Bombyx mori: one gene and its partner. The protein of the gene in region 1 purifies or fractionates together with the protein of each later gene. This does not show direct contact. Links are inferred from orthologs where the notes say so. Each region holds a gene or a part of one and is shown on either strand. Other genes may lie near its edges. The genes, in order: inhibitor of Bruton tyrosine kinase and ribonuclease P protein subunit p25-like protein.

Region 1 (12,544 bases):
AATAGTATACATACAATTTAGCCAATTTTATATAATAAATAAAAATAAAATCGCACAAAAAAAATTAGTAGACTAATAAGTTTATTTATTTTACATAGTTATTGATGTTAAGTATTTCTTGTGTAAAAGACAATATTTTTCATCTTTTTACGTGAAATATTTTAACGCAGGCTTATTGGCCCTAGTTCTGAATATATATTTTTGTTTAATTATCTGTATGGGTTAATTTTTTTTCATATTTGGCCCGTCCAAAATTATTTCATTTATTTCAATGGCAGAAAAGTTTACAATAGTTGGCAGCGTTCTGTATATTTTTAAAATTGTTTGTATGTTGGCACAAAGTGCTTGTTTGAAGTAGATAATAGTAGTTCCGGTATCAGCATGCCTAGAACAAATTTTAAAAATAGATTTCCTAATTCTTAAATTTTAAAATTCATATTAACACTATTTCTATTTAGCAAGGACCAAAATATTGTCTATTAGTACCTCTTCAATTTTATCTCGAAAATTCTCTAGACCAAAAAATACTTTACCGTTATTTTTCATGTAGTTTTTCGAAGCCTGTTTCGATTTTTAGTACTTAAGAAAATGAAATGTTTTGTATTTTACCACTAGGCTTTACATTTACACAATTGCTAAACAAATTATCCATTCACTAAGATACTTAATAATTAAAAAAAAAGAAAGCGTAAAATGTTCTAAGAATACGTAGAATTCTCGTTATTGTTCGTTACTTTGTAAATATTAAAGAGTATGAAATAATTTTGCATCTATTTATACTTACATCAGTTTTAAGGAGGTCAATAATTACTTTTTAAATAAATTTATAATTTATTATGTACAATGTACATGTAAAATTGTTCGAAGCATGTGTCTGTAATGATTCGATTTGTGTAATATAATAATAATATGTTCAATTGTATGATATGTAAATAAAAAGTTTTGAGTGATACTGGCGAAATATGATTTCCTTCTAAGGTACAAAGTAAGAATTAACCATGTTGAAATTATGATTAAATAAAATTATAGTACTTTCTGAAGTTTCATTATTCTAAATCTGCTTAAAAAAAACAATCCATTTATTCTTCTTCTATTTTTGAACGTTACCAGTCCTATAAAATAGATGTTAATAACTATGATGATGAAAGGCGATTGCATGCAGCAGAGATGCGAATGTTGCGATGGATGTGTGGAGTAACGAGAATGGATAGAATACGGAATGAATATGTTAGAGGAAGTCTGAAAGTGGCACCTGTGACAGAGAAGCTGAGAAGTGCGCGTTTGGGATGGTATGGACATGTGATGAGATGAGATTGGTCAGAAAATGTTAACTATGAAGGTGGAAGGATATAGAGGAAGAGGTAGACCTAAGAAGAAATAGATGTATTGCGTGTAAGACGATATGGGTAAGAGGGGAGTGAGCGAAGAAATGGTATATGATAGAAGAGTATGGAAGGAGAAAACACGTTGCGCCGATCCCAGGTAACTGGGAGAAGGGCAAGATAATGATGATGATGAACTATGGTTATCAGTGTCAAGTTTAAAATTTTTTTTAGTTCATTGTGTGATCTTTTATTTTTAGAAATTATATGAAGAAAACGAAATGAAGTTGATTAATTTGAGATATTAATCAATTTAGAATAAAAAAAATTGTTTTATAGTTTAAAAAACTTAATTAGTTTAAAACAATAAAACACTAGCACTAGTAAAAGCTGTGCTTGGCAGAATCTACCACCGGATCTTCGAAGTCATCATGACCTAAAGGACAAGACGTCCGATGCATTCGTATCTAGCGATGCACCGGTGTTCGAATCCCGCTGGCAAGTACCAATTTTTGTAATGAAATACGTACTCAACAAATGTTCACGATGGACTTCCACGGTGAAGGAATAACATCGTGTAATAAAAATCAAACACGCAAGATTATAATTTGCGTAATTACTGGTGGTTGGACCTCTTGTGAGTCCGCGCGGGTAGGTACCACCGCCCTGCCTATTTCTGCCGTGAAGCAATAATGCGTTTCGGTTTGAAGGTTGGGGCAGCCGTTGTAACTATACTTGAGACCTTAGAACTCATATCTCAAGGTGGGTGGCACATTTACATTGTAGATGTCTATTGGCTCCAGTAACCACATAACACCAGGTGGGCTGTGAGCTCGTCCACCCATCTAAGCAATAAAAAATAATAAAAAATATGGTAGGACCTCTTGTGAGTCCGCACGGGTGGGTACCACCACCCTGCCTATTTCTGCCATGAAGCAGTAATGCATTACGTTTAAGAGGGTGGGGCAGCCATTGATACTATACTGAGACCTTAGAACTCATATCTCAAGGTGGGTGGCGGCATTTACGTTGTGGATGTCTATGGGCTCCGGTAACCACTTAACACCAGGTGGGCTGTGAGCTCGTCCACAAACCTAAGCATTAGAAACAAATAAATAAAAGATTGGAAACGTGACCCACTGAGAAGATGCGGTGATAAACTCAGTGGGATGTCTGTGGGTTAATTTGCTGGCCGAATCCTTCGCATCGCAAGGGACAGGTTCGACGAGAACGTTGACTGGTGCTTGAGGTACCTAATAGCACCGATAGTGGATCGGGCGGATACGAAATGACGTTTAGGAGGACGGCCATTGTTTGCCATTGGGTCTGTAGGGTCGGGTGTGTAGTTACCGGCGGCCAGGACAAGAGAGTTTTCGTACCGCGACGCTTTCTCGGAATGGTGCGCTGATAATATCGACTGTATATACTTACTAATAGAGTCCAACTCCAGGTTATCGTGAAGGTTCACGTTCCTCACAAACCACGGTGCTTGGACAGCTTTTTATTTTTTTTATTTCCCTTGTAGGCAGACGAGCATACGGCCCACCTGATGGTCAGTTGTTACCGTTGCCCATGGACTTCAGCAATGCCAGGGGCAAAGCCAAGCCGCTGCCTACCAATCTATCCTATAGAACCAGAATTGAATAGTTTCAAGAGGTTTTAAATTAGTGCAGACCGCATGAGCGAACACTATACTTGCATAGGTCATAACTGGACGAATGCAAGTTTTGTGGAGAACCATAATATTATTAAGGGCCATTTTACTTCACTTGAAAATCATCAGATAGATAAAAATGTAAGATTTAAATCTGAAACAAAAATAATCAAAGCACTTTTACAAATTGCTGTATTTCATTACTATACAAATTATTTTAATTAACATAAGTAGTATCACTGAAATCAAAGTCTACTTTTTCATAACATTATTTAATATAATAAAATTAACATTTTTGAACTACCGTTTTACTTAGTGGAGACTCGAGTACGACGATTCCAAGCGAAATTTAACCCATAGCTTTTAGGTTTGAAATCCTTCTCGGTTTTAGGAACATCAATGTACCACATCCATCCATTTTTCTCACAATGCTCAATTGCTTCATCAGGAGATCTGAACTGAATTTTGACATTGGACAGAGGATCTCCTGAGGATGTCCAGCCCATCAGAGGATTTTCCCAACGTTGACGAGTGTCAAATTCCATTTCCCAATGATGGATATTATTTGTACCACTCTGCATTGCATTCTTCGCAGGTTGATAAATACGTACACGGCGAGTCTTAATATGTTCTTCTGGGACTCCTAAAATGGGGCTGAGATCTGCCTAGAATTGTAAAATATATTTAGTTTGATATAATTATACAAAGGCAAACTTGTGACCAAATCCAAATTGACACTGCTGTTTTGCTTAAATTTTTTTTTTTTTTTTATTGCCTTTGTAGGCAGACGAACATACGGCCCACCTGATGGTGAGTGGTTACCGTCGCCCATGGACTTCAGCAATGCCAAGGGCAGAGCCAAGCCGCTGCCTACCGCAAATTTTTGCCAAAATAGTGTAAATTCTAGACTAATTAATCATTATCTTCAAACGTTAGGCGAGTAAATTTTATTTTATATTATTTAAAGGCATTCACTTTCTCTGTATTCGTTTCTATGAAATATAACCATAGGAATATATTCAGATTTTATCATTGACTTAATGTTTGATGAGTTTGCTTTATCTAAATTTTATTTATTAAATTTCGCTAGCTGATATTTTGGTCTCTTTGACCTATACACTGCATATTCCATGAAACATTCTTTTTAGACATTTTTTAAAGAATGTAAAACATTATAGAGAGCAGTTTCATCATCATTTTTGTTAATAAATGTTCAAGACATTTTATTTTTAAAATAGCATCTACCAGCATAGAGCTCATCGAGAAAGACTTGTAAATTACCTTCGTTGGCACTACAATAGTGGAATCCAGTGCTTTTTGATGCCGAGCTTCTTCTGGCAAGGCCAAAACGGATTCGTTTTCAATTTTAGGTGCTTCCTTTCGGCATGTTGGATCTGCATCAGCATAGCGAACATTGTACGTTGAAAACGCACCTTTAAACCTGAAAAGAAATGGATTTCTTCCTATGTAATTTTGACAAAAATAATTTGGTATGGGTTTGGGTGCTTGTTCAATCTTAGATGGGATAAGAGCATGTAGCTCACCTTGATAAATGGTTCTTCGATAAACCTGCTGTCTGGCAGATAGCTTTGAACATTGCGACTTTTACGTAACAATCAGTCCAAAATATTATTTCTCTTTTGTTCCAACAAATTTTATCCAAATTGACATGACAATTGACTTTTTTGACATTTCTCATTTTATTTTACTCTGCGTTTCTTCTCCAACAAATATACGACTTGGACTTTTCGGCGGGAACGCGAGCAGTGAAGTCGTGTGGTTTGTTTTATTTTGTCTATTTAGTGTTTCTTCAGGTTTAAATGTGTTGTTGTTGTTGTTGTTGTTGTCCTAGGGTACCCCGCTGGTACATAGGGCCCTCACAAGTTGTCTCCACTTTACTCTGTCTTGCGCTTGCTCCTTGACATCTTAAATGTGTAATAACGGTTAAATGTTAGTTAACTGTTTAGTATCTTTGAAAGTGAACAAATGTGGGAAAATCAAACAAAGCCGCTGAACGTAACTCGTTGGGATCTTCCAAAAAGTTCACTGAAAAAGTCTCAGTAAATGACCAGCATTATACTGCGATTATATTTCATACCTTATCATCACATCTCATTTCATTTCACTTCACTTCATACCATGTTTCATATTAATCAACTTCATTTCATTTCACTTCACATTATAATTTTTCATAAAAATTTAGAATATTAAAATAATACTTGACCTAAAGGTTTTAGCTACCAGGTCATAAAATCCCTTTAAAAAAATCTATTATCTATGCTTCCAACCGACTGCCTAGAGCACTGACAGCTTTTTTGGACAGTAACATTCAAAATGACGACTTTGACGCCAACTGCTGCACCCGGAATTCGGTGAATCAACAGTCCGAAAAAACCGAGATCCAGATCCAAAAAACTAATTTTCTCTACATCTAACATGAAGTTGAAGTGTGTGCGAGAGAGAAGGTCCATTCATTAGGTACAGTTTTAAATGTGTTAGAAAGAATAAAACATAATAGTAGAATATCTGTTATGAGTCCAAACTCTCCGGACTATTCACACCCGGAATTCGGCGACTCAACAGTTGACGCATATCTTGTTGAACCCGGAATTCGGCGATTGCACTGTCCAAAGGCGAAACTTAGGAAACGAAACGTCAACCAAAAATTCGTGCCACTGTGACGTCATCTGACCACAAAACATGGCGGTTTTAGTGCTGACAAAAATTTCAATGTTATCAGGTTTTATCGATAAACGTTCTTGGCTCATTTTATTTTAAATATTGTTGAGTATTATTTATTTGTAGAATTTATACTTTAATGGGAAGTAAGTAGGTATATTGTTATGTGCAAATATGATATGATTTAGATGGGTGAAATCTAAGACAAGTTCGTCCTTCGAATTTGCCAAGTAAACGTTATTATGATTTTTAAAAGTTGCTACACTGATTTTATAAAGTTGTCATTTCTCGCAAAACATAAAGATATGGCGTAGTACAGTGCCATTTGCCCATTTCTAGCATGCTAAATGTTCTCGTATTTTGAGTACGTGTTATTCTTAGACTATTACAATCTATTTTAATTGTTTTGCTGACTCTAAAGTCCGTAACACACTACCGCAGCGCACCCCAAGGAAAGTGCGCCGCACCATTTGAATCACTTTCACTTGAGAGTGATTCAAATTTTAAACTTATCAAGGGACCGCGTGAAAAAAAAAACACCTACGTCTACCTACACCTACCTATTTATTCATTATTAAAAACGTCATTCCTTGTGACTTCCTCTCTAAAATCACTTAATTATTAAATATTTAACGAATTTATAATAGTGTTTTACTCACTGCGGAGTAAAACTATTTTATTTAAATAGTTCCGAAGAGATTTTGTCGGTAGCCTTTTTCCCGAAATATCTAAACAGAATGTCTAAATATGTTTTGATGATATATTTTAAAGAGGTATTTATGATTAGTGTCATGATCAATAGATTCCGACCGAAAAATGGTGTCCGATTTTTCGGATGAGGGCTCCATAATGGATTTAAATATATATAGATCGACTCATCCGCAGAATATAGTCCTATCTGTAGGATTGATAGTTTTCAGTAGAGGTTAAAGAAGTTGTTGACTTGTGTAACTTTTAAACGGTGCGACTTGTTGTTTAAATTTTTTGGTATGTTGTTACTACGTCTCAGCTTTGTTAAATACTGTGTAGTTTATAACTGTTATTCTTTTATTTCTGGAGATAGTGAGTTCTATATTAACATAAGACGTTTTATGGCAAAACAGCGAGGGTCCTTAGTGAACGTTACACGTTGTTTTATGGACACATGTAAATTAAATGACGTTCTATATTAACATGAGTCGGTTTTCTTTGGAATTACTAACTACTAATGAGTCCTACGTAAATAACAACCTTGAAATATTTAAACATAACGTTCCTCATATCATCACTGCCCTCCTATATAACTAAATAAAAAAGATAGTAATTATTTAAAATCGTTTATTAAGTGAAAAAATCTCAAAACTGGTATAAAGAATCATCATAAACAGCAATCATAACACTAAAAATTACAAAAAACTTACAGGTTCATGTGTCAATTAGAACATTGCAGGACGCAGACGCGGACGAAGATAATAAAACTTATTTTTTTTATAATAACAAGATTAAAATCAGCAGTCTCAAAGTTTTTTTTTATTGCTTAGATGGGTGGACGAGCTCACAGCCCACCTGGTGTTAAGTGATTACTGGAGCCCATAGACATCTACAACGTAAATGCGCCACCCACCTTGAGATATAAGTTCTAAGATCTCAGTATAGTTACAACGGCTGCCCCACCCTTCAAACCGAAACGCATTACTGCTTCACGACAGAAATAGGCGGGGTGGTGGTACCTACCCGTGCGGACTCACAAGAGGTCCTACCACCAGTAAACTATCTACTCACTAATCGTAGAACTAATCTACTAATCACTAATCTATAATAATCAGCCTTCATAATTAATCAATCAGTCTTACATAGTAACCTAGACTTATAACTGGTGCACATACTTAATAGCAATGAAATGGCATGTAGACAAACATTAAATATTATAATTAACATTGCTTCGCTAAATTAGTAGGAAGAATTCAGCTCTAAAAAGAGGAAGCAGACACTAGATAAAATTATTCCGATAGATTATCATCCGATTCTTCAGAAAGAGTAACAGTTATGTGATGTGGCAAAGAGTTAAAGTATGGAGTTCCTCTAAGGGAATAAGTTCTGAGCGGCACATATCCATTAAATCTTTATATTTCGCAGCAGGAATCATAATAGGTCCAGAAAATGCAGCTTTTAGTTCAGCTTGTACCGAGTTCCTCGTATTACTACGAATTACTAAAATATCATAATCAGGTTGAGTTAGATCATATTTAAAAAACAAATTTGTTGGGATGTTATTCCAGTTAATCTTCTTGCACTGAATGTCTTTGATCCAAACCTTATTATTAACAAGACTTTTAAAGTCGAATACGTCATCCTGGGTTACGTTTCGAACAACATAGGGTTCTCCTTCATTCTTGGCCCATCTTACTAATAAACGCCATTAATGAGGGGTATATATAGTTTTGGTTTGAAAAGCTCTCTTGATGACAGAGTGGATACTGTCCCCCTCATTTTGGGTATGCCCTTTCTGTAAAAACCGGTGTGTATATGTTGAACTTTTTTGCGGCATAAATGTATAATGAATATACAAAGCGATTACAATTTTGGCCAGCACAATTGTCTGACCAAAAGCGGAACTCCTTGGTCCCTTGTTCAACATTAGTCTGTATAAAGTTTAAGAGGCAACTGCTTACCTCGTTTGCTCCACGTTTTTCCACAGATTCATCCCACAAATAGCAAATGGCCTTCTTTTTACCTATATCAAAAACCGTAAAGTTAAAAGAAGATAGCTTTCTGTTATAGTAAAATATATTTATATTGGTTAGAGGACACTGTAAAACTTTTCAAAATCAAACAGCAGTAACCATGTTTCCGTTTGACTCCTCAGCATCTTTTTTATCTAGGCTTTTTAAATGCCTTGCCTTCTTATTTGTCTGGTGTTATTGAAGAGCTTCTTTCTCTTGGTCAGTTGGATTTTTATTCAATCGAAAAACGTGACATTCCTCGCACTAATCCTTTTTGGGGTTTGAAAACCTAGGGGTATGAAAACCTAGATTGAAGTTTGAGTTGACAATGTCACGATACTGGCGTTCTTTTATGGCTTTAGTGCTGTATTTTTCAGGGTCATGATACATGATTAGGGCAGAATACGGTGTTGCAGATCGAATGGATATTAGTAGGAGATTGCATGAGTGCTGGTACTGACAGTTCCAAATTGAGCGGAGTACATCTGTGGTGATCTTCTAAATCTTCAAGCTGTATATGTGGTAAATTTTCGTAACTTAAAGGCACTTTCAAAGAAAATATACTAGGTTGGTTGCTGTAATCATCCAAGGCAGATACATCAGGCACGAGATTAGGTACTGAGCTGTCGCAGGTAATTTCCTTGGTCCCACTATCTTCATGTAGCATTTTTCCAATACATCAGCTAGTTCCTGACTGATTTCTACTGGTCCAGGAGGCAAAGGTGACGTTTGTATGTCTTACAGGTATCATCATCATTTACAAATGAAAATTTAAAAAAACTCATATTTTTATGACAATTTATAAAATACTATTTATATTTATGTGTTTTGCAAAACAATTTAATTATACAGAAATAATTTAACAAAATTTAAATAAAAAATCGTTATATTTTACAACTTTTTTGCACGATTAACGTCCTAACTGATTTCATTATCCCAGTAACAACGTCTCATCTTACTAACGAACCAACAAATCGCGTCACAGAGTTCGTAAAAAAATGTCCCATATTCACATAGAACGCTTAGAGGTTCAATAGTGTTCGTAAAATATCGTCCTAATATTTCATAACGCTTTTATTTTTAACAGTTAATTATTATAGAAAGATTGATTACTCCTGTGAATATGCATTACGCCAATTGTGTTTTTGCATTAAAAATGCGTTTCATTACCTATTCGTCAAAAAACGTCTTATAAAAACATCGATCGACTACAAGCACTTATTGAAACAAAAAAGCAATATAGATAATATTTTTTTATATAGAACTTAATAGCGTGTGAAATTATGAAATAATACAACTGAAAAGTTGGCAAATTAATATTATTTACATTTTTCTCCATATGAACAGCGGCTACATTAGAAAATGATGAACTAAGGTCAGGGTCTTCTGTATCAGCCTTAAGCATATTCAACATTTTCCGTGATCGCGACATGTCTAAAAATATCTTTTATCGAGCAAAATACGTGTTACATTATTAATTTAAAATCAAACAGTAAAAACCTAAGCGCTTGACACAAAGACGCCCTCTCTCCAACAAGTCCAACGAACAGCGGCCGGACTGATAGACAAATAAATAGAGTGCATGGACATATAGATATATAAGGACATTGATAACGTGCACATAGATTTTACTAAGAATAGAACGTAAGTTACTTTGAAATAAATAGTATACACTTTTGCTTTGTTATTCCCGATAGTTTTAAGATTAGCATATTAACTTAAATGAACACGCGCCCGGCCCGCGTCCCGAAACGATGTAACAAACAGCATTTATCTGTGTTCAGGACCGGGTATTTTGTTTATACGGGCGCGTCATATAGATTAAGCATAGAATCAGTGCGGCCGCTCCGTGCGGGCCGGCGCTTGATCACTCCGTACGTTTTTATGCGGAGCTAACGACAGATAGAACGTTATTCAATTATATATTTCCGAAACTAAATGAGATACAAAAATTCCAAAAACACACGTCCGTAGAGTTCGTATCCCTTATTTCGCCTAGCTATATAACTCGTTTTTGCTCTATGATCACATCGGACTTTGTTCTGCGGATGAGTCGAGATAATAGTTTTTGCATCGACTTTCTTGAGATCCTATAAAATACGTTTGAATTATTATTTTTGTATGTTCTAAGCATGATAAATTATGAAATTTTATATAAGCAATCATATTAAATCGATATCAAAGTCAATAATTAATGTACAACCCAAAACAGACTGCCGAACTGACAATGACATTTGGTGCGCTCAACATGGCGGATTTTCGGCCTTATTAGACGGAGACGGAGATAATTACGTATATTCATGTTTCATTTTATGTACGCACTGAAATACTGTTATATTGTTTTCCTGCGAGTTAAAGTGCTGAATAAGAACGAGATAGATATATGTTTATGTGTGCGCCTTCAAAAGGGGTGCTATTTATATAAGCAATTGTACGTATAGAACAATATGTCGTGTCCCTACTATATAGGTCTATGCCTAGAGCAAGACTGAGCAAATACAAGACATATGCTAATCATGTTCTGAAAAGGATTGAACATGACATAGTTCTTCTGAGTGTCGGAACTAGTTCCAGAAAACATAAACTAAACAGTTCCGCGAACACATTAAGTCTAGAACCTATGTGTAGTGTAGTTTTGTAAAGTAGCCTACATGCAACCGAATTACGTAATGTAGCTAAAAAAACTAGCGATAGTGGTGAATGTTTTAAAATTCTCTAATTTTGAATTAAGATTTTCTAATAAATGGTTAAGTGCTCGTAAGAATGGTGCATGGTCAAGGTCAAAATTCATAGCAAAACATTTTTATTTATTCAACTATCGACTGTAACACGTAGGTCGTAGAGCATAACTTCATTATTCATAAAAATGTAATATGAAAGAGCTCCACACGCAGTTGCATGCACTCTTCAAACGAAGCTTGTGGAGAGTATTAAGCGGTAGGCAGCGGCTTGGCTCTGCCCCTGGCATTGCTGAAGTCCATGGGTGACGGTAACCACTCACCATCAGGTGGGCCGTACGCTCATCTGCCTACAGAGGCAATAAAAAAAAAAAAACTTGCTCCATCACACTCCCTCATATTCGCACCATAAATAATTCGCATTATCTCGTTACGTAGACTCGTGTCGGCTTGGTACTCTTTCGGGTGGACTCGCCGCGCCACGCCGCGCAGTACTATAAGCTCTAATCATGTCCGCATGTCCGTCATGTTCAACGCGTTCGTAGTTCCTTCTTAACTAATTTTCGTTCCTGCATAATAGTTCACTTGGAATGGAACTGTCTGCACATGTTAATTTTGACAACTCGGATTGAATGATATAGTTCCAGGAACTACTTCGGTCCAGAACTACCCATGTATATACACATGTGGTCTAGCAATGTGAACCGATTACAAATTCTGGCTCCGGTTTATTACCGATTTGTTTCTCAGAAAACCGATTTTTAAGGCATTTTTAAGTTTTTTCCAATAAGGCTAAATAATCATTAAATAAAACAAATTTACGTGCAAACGAAGAGTTTTCTTCATAAAATTAATAACCTTATTATTATATTTTATATAGGCTTAATGATCATATTGTCCAATAATAAAAAGCTTTTTATTTTTGATTTAATACTATTGTATTTTTTCAAAATAGCTTTTTCTTATATTTTACATGGTAATTGCACTGTAGTTTTTAAATGTAATGCACGGGAATTTGAGTGAACACGGTGTTTTTTATCTAGCAGCACGGTAGTTTGCTTATTTGATCTGGTAGCACTGGTGGGAACTGTGAATGTAAAGCGTAATTAAAAACCGATATTCTTAAATAAAAACCGGTGTTTATCGGTATCTACAAAAACCGGTTTTTCTCCGGTTTTCTTCGAACCGGCTACATCCCTAATGTGGACCATAGATTATGCTCTTAATATTTGTCTGAAGCACTTGTCTTCTTCATAGATTACACACTTAATATATTGTAGTTCATTTATTTATTGTAAAATAATTAAATACTTTTAAACATTGCAATTACAACTATATTATTAAGATAATACCGTGATCATTTACGAAAAGTCATTTCACTGTTGTGTTTTACGTGAAAAATGGAATATTACTTTCAGTCTCATTTCGCTCTTAATCAAACAGCTGTTTTCTTGTAAATGTAAGTGCTATTATATCAACATATTATAAAAAAAATAAACAAAAATAATT
Region 2 (12,449 bases), on another chromosome or scaffold:
TTTTTTATCAACTAAAGTACTATAAAGATAATGAAAGCAATATTGAGAAATAGGTAACTACTATACTGTAAAAATGGAGACTCCGAACTCAGGTATCGAGATGAGCCGCGGTATTAACGTGGCTGACGTCTATTAGCTCCGGTGACCACTTAACACCAGGTGGGCCGTGAGCTCGTCCACCAATCTTTGCAATAAAAAAAACTACATTACATTAAATATTCATACTTTAAAACCTCATCGATTTACCTTAGAAGGATTAGCGGCATCAGTATCACAAACACAATGACCGCAAACACAGGTTCCCCGTCCAGAGCATTTCAATCCCTTCGTGACCTCTGGAGAGAAGCAATTATCTTCATTTTCTTTGCTCTGACATGAACATTGTGCGTTCTCTACGATACTAACTGAAAAAACAACATCATTAGTTATTAAATGAACTTCAGGCTCGACAGAAGAGGCCCGTTCCCGGAATCTGTAAACGCACAACATAAATACCGCAGCTCACCTAGACAAATTGGTGCCATAGCGTGCCCTTACATCTGATAAATAAGCAAGATCCTCTAGTCTGAAAACGATTCATTTTGAAACGATTACAGAATAAAACTTTTAATCAATACCTACCTGCTTACCCGAGCAGTCTACCGAATATTCTTTGAGCCCGTATTAAAATTAATAATTATTTTAGTAGTCGTGGCCTAAATTGTACGACTCCCAGCATAAGTGACACGACGCGGCGACGGTGCCGGTGTTCAAATTTCGTGACAGGTACCAAGATATGTACTTACTTTAGACGTTTTCACGTCATCCATCGAAATAACATAGTGCAATTTAACAAACCCATGAAATATATAAATTGGCTTAATTACTCATAGTATGACGAACTCTAAGCCCCATAAACTCACACGGGTAGGTAGGTACTAATTACAGTCTATTTCTGTTGCGAGGCGTTCACAGGAAGAGTGGGACGGCTTTTATTTAATACAATACAATTAAGACATCAACTTCACGACTCGAAATAGGTGGCGATTTTGACATCGTAATGTCTATGGGTTCTAATAGCCACTTAGCATCATGTGATCCGTGAGTTCGTACACCCATATATGCAATAAAAAATCTTTAAATACATAAATAAATGGACGACGTTTTAGATTTTTCCTGTGCCTGTATGAATGAACATTGAAAAAAATCAATTTGTATTAGTCCTATTTTTAAAGTTCTTTGCTTTCATGGGAACTGCCGGATTTTGAGAGAGTAGAATATGCTCATGTGTCCTTTTCGGCTTCTTCCTGGTTACGTTCACGAAGTAAGACATTCTTCACTCATCTTAACCATTTTTCTTTCTTAATATACCTACCTACCTAATATATTTCTATAGGTATTCGAAAATAACACGGCGTAAAAAAAACCCATTTATATTATTTTGGTATAGTAGAGCAATTAGGTAGGTAATAAATTTTCCTGCACACAATACCTACATTGATACTGCTTAAGTAAATTAATCCTATTACAGGAATTCGTGATAAAATCTATTTAAGAACTTTTTCATGATAAACTGGAAATTTCAGTGCTATGATGTTTTTTTTCTATTACTTGAAAAAAAGGTGTTTTTTTTTCACTAATAAAAATAATAATATTCCGCCTATTTCTGCCGTGAAGCAGTAATACGTTTCGGTTTGAAGGGTGGGGCAGCCGTTGTGACTATACTGAGACCTTAGAACTATATCTCAAGGTGTGTGGCGCATTTACGTTGTTGATGTCTATTAGCTCCAGTAACCACTTAACACCAGGTGGGCTGTGAGCTCGTCCACACATCTAAGCAATATAAAAAAAAAAAAAAAAAACTGGAGTAAGGCGAAAGAGGTCTTTAACTAAACTTACCTAAGAGCTTGTACTTACGTCCAAAATCAGTAAATTCGATAGTATCGTTTACGCAGAGGCCTTTGTTACCCCACAACTCGTTTGAGAAACATTTGTTTTCTTTTACACACCACGAGCATTGGGATAATTTCAAACAATCAAAACATGAGACCTTAACAGCACATACCCAGCGCTCATCCATAACGAACGGTCTTTTCGCTGCCATAATAGTCCATGGTAAAACAGATAAAAATAAAAACGCTACTTTAACTCGAGAACACTGCATAGTGCTTTTAGATAGAAACTTAATTAACTGGAAAACGGGAAAATACTTCGAACGGTATTATTGTACGATAGCCCTGACATAAATAACGCAATTGCTCTGTACTTACAACTCCTTCGATAACCTTTAATCTTTTAATCATGCAAATAAATAGTGTTTGTGGTTTACGCACACTTATTAGTAAAACAATATGTTTCCTAATATTAATAATATATTAGATAATTATTAGAACATTAAGTACATTTTCTAAATTTTAAGCACATTTTGGGCATGGTAATAATCTTTTATAAATATTTTAAAGGATCCCCTAAGATCCAGACTAACAATATTTTTTATGAACATTAGTGCGTCGGCGTTACTTTGATAACTTACTTACTTATTTGTATTAAAAGGGGAAATTCAAATCTAATAATTATTTTCTTACCATATATCCATATCTTACAGCCATATATATATATATCTTCACAGTTTCTAGGTCAGTAAATGGAGTTGAAAAAATTTGGTTTTTAGCTCTTAAAGACCTAATTATGGATAAGGCGCCCGGTGTTCTCGTATAAAAAAATATTTACAGAAAGGTATCCATTTTTCTAGACATACTACATACCTAACACATGTTCACGATCGACTTTCGCGATGAGGGAATGACATTGTGTCAAACCTTCAATATTAATGGGCGAACGAAATCAAAGTTCACCTGGCGTTGAAGTGCTACCTGAGTCCGTAGGCCGTCATCACAAGGAGAATGCTGCCAACCATCTTGAGACTTGAGATCGAAGTCAGAATTGTAAATATAATATTAACTGTCGAACTAGCGTTTCATCACAATTACTTTGGTTAGGTTAGGGTAAAATTGAGGTTCCCAGGCCTTATTCTTGATGGTCGTTGTACCTTTTGTACTCACTTCATACACCTAATCCCTCGACTATCTTGTCCGACCGTCCTGCCTATTTCTTGGGAGAACGATCGAAACGAAACGATCATAGGTTCGGGCTTGAATGGTAGGATGGCCATCATACACTTGAAACTTCGACCTTAATAAAAAAATATACAAAGTTGCTTCCCGTGTTCTTTCAAAATCCATTAAGTCTCTCAGAAAATTTCTATCATCACTGAGAGGTTATTTCTGATCATCTTCTCCAATAGTTAAGATGTTGTATTAAGTCACCTAAATTCTTCTTCTTTTCAGTATGGCAATTGACGTCTTGAAATGCTATTTCTGCCACTATCGAGATTATAAAAAATCTTCAATTAAGGAATATACACGTTATATGAAAATGGCCCAGAATGAAATGGTTTTTTTTTTATATAGCTTAGATGAGTGGATGAGCTCACGGCCCACCTGGTATTAAATAGTTACCGGAGCTCATAGACATCTACAACGTAAATGCCGCCACCTACCTTGAGACATAAGTTCTAAAGTCTCAGTTGGTCATCAACAGTACAATGACTTTGTCACCTTTCAAACCGAAACGCATTACTGGTTCATGGCAGAAATAGGCAGGGTGATGGTACCTACCTGTGCAGACTCACAAGACGTCCTACCACCAATAATTATGTAAATTATAATTTTACGGGTCTGATTTTTTTTACACGATGTTATTTCCTTCCATGTGGAAATCAATCGTGAACATTTGATATGTACGTATTTCATTAGAAAAATTGGAAACTGCCTGCGGTATTCGAATCGATGCATCGCTTGATACGCATGGACTGGGCGTCTTATTCTTTAAGCCACGACGACGACGTATCGTATTTTATTTGAGATACTAATCTATTGAGATGAAATCGGAGGAAACGAGATTAAATGACATGTCATAACGTCCCAGTAAAATAGTGGAGATTTACTGAGACTTCAGTCATCCTTTTGAAGGAACCAGAAGAACCACGAAGAACCAACGAATTCGTCTTGGCCTATTGAAGTCGTCGTGGCCTAATGGATAAGACGTCCGGTGCATTCGTGCTGAGCGATGCACCGGTGTTCGAATCTCAGGCGGGTACCAATATTTCTAATGAAATACGTACTCAACAAATGTTCACGATTGACTTTCACGGTGAAGGAATAACATCGTGTAATAAAAATGAAACCCGCAAAATTATAATTTGCGTAATTATTGGTGATAGGACCTCTTCTGAGTCCGCGCGGGTGGGTACCACCACCCTGCCTATTTCTGCCGTGAAGTAGTAATGCGTTTCGGTTTGAAGGGTAGGGCAGCCGTTGTAACCATACTGAGACCACAGAACTTATATCTCGAGGTGGGTGGCGCATTTAGGTAGTGTGTACACTGTATGCGCGCGAGTTAATGTCCATCGAGGCCAGAGGAGACGCGCGGTGGCAGCCCGCCCCACCTTCACCCGTCTCCCCGCATTTGTCTGACGTCGAGTGTTGTCCGTCACGGTTGTAACGCACGATAACGATATCGAAAATTTACGCTAACGCTATTGTGTTATTTAACCATGACTACTCCGCTTCCAATAAGTTCAGATAGAGATAAAGATACATGCTGATTCCGACTCTGATCTGTCGGTTGTCTTTTCATTCGATAGTGATTGAACAGGAATTTAAAAAATATTTTTCTCTATTAGAAATAAACAAGTAATTACTTATCACATTTATTTTATTCCATAAATTGCAAAATTACCTTAAGTTACATTAAACCAAATCGACAGCTGTTGACTAAATCGGTAGTTATTATCTACATTACCATATTTAATTAGGTCACAGCACTACCGTATTTCTCAGGATGGACATGAACTCGCGCGCCTACAGTACGTGCGGACTCACAAGTGGTCCTACCACCAGTAATTACGCAAATTATAATTTTACGGGTTTGATTTTTATTACACGATGTTATTTCTAAAGTCTCAGTTGGTCATCAACAGTACAATGACTTTGTCACCTTTCAAACCGAAACGCATTACTGGTTCATGGCAGAAATAGGCAGGGTGATGGTACCTACCTGTGCAGACTCACAAGACGTCCTACCACCAATAATTATGTAAATTATAATTTTACGGGTCTGATTTTTTTACACGATGTTATTTCCTTCCCCGTGGAAGTCAATCGTGAACATTTGTTAAGTACGTATTTCATTAGAAAAATTGGTACCCGGCTGCGGGATTCGAACACCGTTGCATCGCTAGATACGAATGCATCGGACGTCTTATCCTTTAGACCACGACGACTTTAAACACCTTATCCTACACTTCTGCAGTATTCTGCACGTTCACAGATCGTAAGCGGTTAACAAGCCACCACTATGCTACGCTTAAACTCCAAGAAATATTAAATTAGTAAAAAAAATTGTATCTCGCTTTCTCGCCCAAAAATTCCTCACTTCTTTTAATTTAATTTAATTTCCGTCCATTTCACTTTTCATGCGACAGGCTTCAGCATTTGTTACAAAAGATTTTGCAGTATGAACTTTGTTCCCTTTGCCTGTCTAATGGACGAATTCAAACAAACAAACAATCGTAAATATAACCTCAACACAACGATTTAACCTCAGATATCATACATAATAAATGTATTGTGTATAAATTATCACCACTAATGGAAAATTATACAAAAGGCAAAAATGTTGAACAGGAGTTTGAACGAGATAAAATTCCCATTGAAGGCTTACCTGATAATTTCCTTTGGATGCAGGTACATCGCAAACTCTAATTAAAAAAGAGTCAAACTTGATGGTTAGGGTGTTTAATATTAATTTATTTAAATCAGACATTGTAATGAAAACCTAAAACACAAAACGGTCAGGCAAGCTAAACCACTAGTGAAAAAATGGTTGCTTACATTGAACTCTATGGACACAGAGAACTTAATTAAAAACAAGAAATAGCAGTAGATTTTTTAATTTTGTATCTTTTTGTTTATTTTTTCTTATTAATTTATTTTATAATTGTTTATGTCTACGCTCCCCACATATGAGTAATTATTTGATGTGTTATTTTTAATACTCAAATTTTTTTATTATCTTATATGTTAAATCTTCTAACGCATGTTTTTGAGCGTAATAATTATTAATAATAGTGATGTCGTTTTGAGGTCAATTATATACATCGTAAATCGCATTTTGGTCCTCACGATACACGCTATGCCTAGTGTGAAGATCATTGGTTAATTTTATATTGTTGATGCCATCTGCGTAATCTCTAAGTTTGTTAAATATGTAAATAGTATTCTAGGTCATGATTTAAGAGTTTATGTAGTAAATAAAGAAATTATAATTATATATACATTATTATTTACTTATTTGATACAGGTCAGAGGAGGAAGTAAGATGTCAAACCTCCTAAACCACGTAACCGGCATACTAGAAGATAAAACAGCAACAGCAGTTGTTTGGAGCGGTGTTGGTGCAGCTATCTCCAAAACAATATCTTGTGCAGAAATTATAAAAAGGCAATTTTCTATTCAGCACCAAGTGACCAAACTACTGTACCAAATGTATGATAAATCATTATCTGTTTAAATAAAAAAATCTCATTATTTTCTAATTAAACATCGATTTTTCCCTTTAGAGTAGAAGAACACTGGGAGCCTAAAATTGAAGGCTTAGAAACGTTAGTAGTTAAACGCCAAATACCTGCTATTCATATTCTCTTAACAAGTGAACCTTTGAAAGATTTTAATCAACTTGGGTGAGTTATTTCATTTTCAATTTGTGTCCATAATAACTATTGCCTGTTGCCATAAATATGTGCCTTGCAATGTATATAAGTCTGTGGGCCATTATCTGAAAATTAAGAAGTTCATTTTTGCTTCTCATGTGCCGTATTTTATATTATTTACTAATTACCAATAGAATATCTTTATTCTAATGACAGCTATGCTGTTGGAACAGGCAGGATGATCATTGCAGAGTCATAGTAAGCTAGTTAGATTAAGAGATAGATAGGCTGTCCTATGCAACTTGGTGTTTTTTAAAAGTCTGGCATTGCATATGGGTATTTAGGAGTACATATAATTTCAAGTATATGTGATTAATAGCCTTCTTCAATTTGTATGCCTTTTACATACATTGATTGTCATAACAAGTCTTGTATATACATTTTAACACATTTTTATATTCATTTTATTACCGAAACAATAATAAGTATATCATCTTTGTTGAATTAAGCTTTCCTTTAGATATATGTAACTATTACCATTTGTTAATTTATCTTTAAATATTATTTTATGCAAATAGGCAAAACTAGATGAAAAATCAAATCACAAAAATCTCACCATCTATTATATTAAACCTAATTCATTTCCTGCAATATTTTAGTATTTATTTCTCTATTATTAATCTGACAAAGTATGTAGGTTATGTAAATAATCACAAATTGTATTCTCTTTTAGTTGTCAATCAATAAATGGAAAAAAGTTTTGGGAACAAAATGAGAATCAACCAAATAAAAAACAGCAACTACACTCAAAACGAAAAAAGGTATTCAAGCAGATTCAAAATAGCAAAAATTAAATATTTTTCTGTGAACTATTAATTCCTATGAATTTCTATTACTATCCTGTAATAAAATATTTATTTCTTCAACAATAATAGACACAATGTTTTTTGTGATATTATTTATGTGTATATTTGTAATAAAAGGTGTGAATCCAATAAGTGAAATTGGCAAATAAATGAATGTTTGTGCACATTTTATTTATACTTGATTTACAGATCTATCAATACCATAAACCTATGTAGAATGAACATTGTATTGTGTTAATGCATATAAATAATTTAATTTATATTGGTGTACACAATTTTTCACACTAAATTTAAATATATAATTTAACCTTGGTAGTGGAAGAAACACAAGTATGTAAATAAATAAATTCAATTTAAATGTTGTTTTCCATCAGAGAAATGTTTAAATTGTAATTGTTTAAACAAATTTCAAGCTTCTGATTCACCAGCTGGTACTTCATCATCAAGTTTAGGTAAAATTAGAATTTCTTGAGGTATTATTGGGTATTTTGTTACAAAATATGTGAATCTCTTGCATAAATGAGTTTCTCTTTCAAATGCATCATAAATTGAACGATGATGAAAGTATGCATGTGAGAAGATCCTGTAAACCCTTCTACAAACAGATCCCAACTTGGCAATTGATGAATCCTTGATGTTCACCCTAAAAAAAATTAATTAATGTTTTATTTAACTGTATTAAAGAACATTTGGTTTGTATAATATTATAAGAATATATAAATTTTAAACCTGCTTGGAAAGTATTTATTGCTATTCAACAAGCAAGCTGCTCCATCTAGAGTGTGCCGTGTGTAATCAATGGCTGGACATTCTTTAGGAGTTTTATGTGCTGCACACAGAAATATCCACTGTTCTGTTGCAGTCATTTGTGTACATGTTTCAGGTTTGCATTCATTTTGTAGGCGCACAGCCAATCCATTGAGCTCCATACAAAATTGTCTGTAAAATATGTTATTTATTTATTACACTTCATGTAACATTTACAAAGGTGGACTAAATGCCTAAGGCATACTCGACCAGTCAACCAAAGGTAGTGCAGAGTAAATAGTGGTAGGTAGAATGAAAATTATATTAAATTGCAAATACATACACAAAAATGTATAGTAAATATGTAACATCTAGTAAAATTGATAAAAAAATCTTTACTACACTGTTAGTTAACTTAAAATAACTACAAGTTCAGCCATTGAGAGAAGGTTAACAATATAATTATATTGATCAAATATAATTTAGTCCAAACACTATAAGTAAATCCAAATTACATCTTAACAGTGTAACATGTTCTTTCAGCAGCAAGATGATAGAATATATTCTATTACATTAGAACAAGCTGTAAGTTATAAATAAACACAAGAAAAATACCTTAGATGTTCATACTTCCAAACACCTTCATCCAACACCTCTGGCATCTTCAAAATAGCTTCGAGATTCGAAGGGTCACGTCGAATAGTTTGTTGAATAAATTGTTGAACAGCCAATGTGCTATCCATTTCTTCAAAGGGTTCATCAGGCCAGCGACAGAAGTCCTGATTAGAACAATGATTGTAATTTAGAATATTCTTCGATATTCGCGAGTCTTAATTAAAATAATAAACACAATAGAAACTACTTTTAGGGTTTAATCCTGAAATAATTTTAATTGATATATGATGGTGGCACATAAGTAACGCCACAATACCTGTTTTAATTCAGTTACATTTGCTGTGCATACCTTGGCTTTGGTGCCGGGTCGATTGCGTCGGAGTATTTGAACTCCGTCGGTCATTTCTTTTGGTGGAATGGCGACAAGATACTTTTGTTTGTCTATACTGGTTCGAATGTTAACAAGCCTCTGATAGTTACGACGGCACTTATTTGAATTATGCTTCACCTCTACCACTATTATTTATATTTTAGAATTATAAGAAACTTTAGCTTTAGCCAAAAAAAATCCTTTCATAATATGAGAGAGAGGACAGAGGACTCCGAATCATAGATTATACGCTTAATATTTGAGAACCGAATATTTTTCAGGTGACTGAAGTTAGCCCCTAAAAAAAAATTTTCTGTCCTGTTTTCTACTTATTTTCTATTAATTCGTTTGGTCATCATTTGTTCTTGATTGTTCACTGTTAATAATTGTTTGTCCCACATTTATTTATTTTAAAAAAATTATTAAAAATATATGTACAAGTTAGCCCCTCGATTGCAATTTTTAATATTTTTTCGTCCTTAATGACTCGTAAATATTCATTTTCGATTGTTCTTATATAAAACACGTTTGTTCTCTTTCGAAATTACTCGTTTTTTGTTTAATTTACTATTTGTATTAGTTGAATAAATGTATGCAAAATATGTATACTGCGCATGCGTCAACTATAATGCCTAAACTTTCTACGCGGTTTTAATCGTGAAAAGAAAAACAAATATAAATCCTGAAGGAGCAATTAATTGGTATACAGTTTAATTAAAAAAATAAAAAAATAAATAAATGAAATAATGTACATTGGCGTAAAGTTAGACCAAATATATTTTTCCATCCTCCTACCTATCGATAATATGTTCATTATTTATCTTTCAAGAGATAATGTAGGTATACATTTTAATAACTTTTTTACACAGTCGAAATTATATTCCTAAAAAATATATAGGATTATATGTGTACTGTAGTAGTAGTAGTAGTAGTAGTATGTAACTTCCTAGTCATAATCATCAGCCCATATAATATATTCCCTTGCTGGACACTGGCCTCCACTACCATTGAGAGGGTTTTTAGGCCTTAGTCCACCACGCTGGCCTAGTGCTGGTTGGTGGATTACACACATAAGAAAATCCTAAGCACATTTAGGTGTGCAGGTTTTATCACAATGTTTTCCTTCACTGTTAAAGTAAGTAAGTGATATTACACTGTGATAAATTTTCATTATCACAAACTTCCGAGTACCTTATGTAATAGGAACTGAGGTCCACTTGCCCATTTTAGCTACTTCCACTAACTAACTAACTATTCTCGTTTTTTCTGATATTGTTATTTGATTATGAGATCTGTGAGTGTTACTAATTATTGACAGTTACACCTACCTTGACTACAAGATGGCAAAGGTATAATAATATAACACATCTCATTTTTAGTCGTCTCTTCAATCTCCTTGACAATAATGAGTCTTTGCCGTTTCACAAATGCAGGCCGAGGTTCACTTTGAGTGAATTTTCGTTTTCTATCTGCCCGACAATCGAATTTGGATGGTAAACAGTTTGGTTTCATTCGAATTCATTTGATGGAGCCCATTATCTTGTATTGCATATAATTCTCAATGTGGTTTTCCAGCTAAAACATGAAATAATTTTCCAACACTTTCAATACATAACCTATAAAAAAAAAAATTTTATTTTACTAATGTTAGGAATATAATTTCGACTGTGTAAAAAAGTTATTATAATGTATACCTACATTATCTCTTGAAAGATAAATAATGAACATATTATTTACTTATTTGTTTATATTACCTATGTGAACTCCCTATCTTTTTTATACCTTCATAACGATAGGTAGGAGGATGGAAAAAATGTATTTGGTCTAACTTTACGCCAATGTACATTATTTCATTTATTTATTTTTTAATTTTTTTAATTAAACTTATACCAATTAATTGCTCCTTCAGGATTTATATTTGTTTTTTTTTTCACGATTAAAACCGCGTAGAAAGTTTAGGCATTATAGTTGACGCATGCGCAGTACACATATTTTGCATACATTTATTCAACTAATACAAATAGTAAATTAAACAAAAAACGAGTAATTTCGAAAGAGAACAAACGTGTTTTATATAAGAACAATCGAAAATGAATATTTACGAGTCATTAAGGACGAAAAAATATTAAAAATTGCAATCGAGGGGCTAACTTGTACATATATTTTTAAATATTTTTTTTAAATAAATAAATGCAGAACAAACAATTATTAACAGTGAACAATCAAGAACAAGTGATGAACAAACGAATTAATAGAAAAGAAGTATAAAATAGAAAAAAAAAATTTTTTTGAGGGGCTAACTTCATTCACCTGTATTTTTCATTACTTTGGATTAAAAATAGTGACTCCCAGAAGAAAGTACCGTAAAATGAGGTGACTAGGGATTGAGAGGTGAATGGGGACAAAACCAGGAAATCTTTCGACGCTCAATATTAATTTTTAAACCGTTGCAAAATCTTCCATTTTTTATAGTGTAATAGTAGAATCTTGAAACTTTACAAAACATCTCTGAATATGCATGATAATAGAGGCTAACTTATAAAAAATCGCATTTCAAATTAACTTCTTGTGGTGGTAATTATTTTAGTGCTAGAAACTTTGCTCTCTTTTATTTATTTGATAATAATAGAAGACGACTGTGATTTATAAACGTTTAGTGTTTGGACCATCATATATATTATAGGTAAAACTCAGTTGTTATTGGTTTTAATGTTTTTTGATAATATAAAAATACATGTAAAAATTTGTTGTTTTTGGAAATAATGGGGATGTCTCAGGTACAAATAACAACGAAAAAGGGGTCACTTGGGATGAGAATAAGTTAAATGGGAGCGACCTAAGTATAAATAGGTACAGGTTTGTAGGGTTGTCTACGTAGTTATTACAATCTTTTTTAAATGTGTTGGTAGGAATCTGGTTTATTCATGATGTTTTTGTCTAGAAAATTTATTCAAAATTATCAATGCAGTGTTATTTTATTGTTTGGCAAATATTTATATTATCAGTTACGTATTGTTTTCTATTTATAGATATATCTTCTGCGTGTACGTATCAAAGAGTGCAAAGCCTTATAAGAGATATGATCCCTTGATATTAAAGA

Evidence for each region.
Region 2: the proteins of inhibitor of Bruton tyrosine kinase (region 1) and ribonuclease P protein subunit p25-like protein purify together in Homo sapiens (co-immunoprecipitation; 3 studies listed by BioGRID and IntAct, with this or other methods). This does not show direct contact. The link is inferred for Bombyx mori from reciprocal best matches to the Homo sapiens genes IBTK and RPP25L.

What each region holds. Positions count from the first base shown.
Region 1 is NC_085125.1:10,538,674-10,551,217, forward strand, and holds the start of inhibitor of Bruton tyrosine kinase, read left to right. Parts: upstream 1-5,304; 5' UTR 5,305-5,454; intron 5,455-12,244; exon of another isoform or gene 12,245-12,494; intron 12,495-12,544. Other genes in the region: NADH dehydrogenase [ubiquinone] iron-sulfur protein 4, mitochondrial, read right to left, coding at 3,285-3,641, 4,258-4,417, 4,521-4,675. UniProt on the Homo sapiens protein: Acts as an inhibitor of BTK tyrosine kinase activity, thereby playing a role in B-cell development. Down-regulates BTK kinase activity, leading to interference with BTK-mediated calcium mobilization and NF-kappa-B-driven transcription.
Region 2 is NC_085116.1:9,659,379-9,671,827, forward strand, and holds ribonuclease P protein subunit p25-like protein, read left to right. Parts: upstream 1-5,651; 5' UTR 5,652-5,690; coding exon 5,691-5,786; exon of another isoform or gene 5,787-6,402; coding exon 6,403-6,587; exon of another isoform or gene 6,588-6,604; intron 6,605-6,661; coding exon 6,662-6,781; intron 6,782-7,367; exon of another isoform or gene 7,368-7,484; coding exon 7,485-7,605; 3' UTR 7,606-7,781; downstream 7,782-12,449. Other genes in the region: preimplantation protein, read right to left, coding at 8,026-8,260, 8,347-8,556, 8,980-9,143, 9,329-9,382. UniProt on the Homo sapiens protein: May be a component of ribonuclease P or MRP.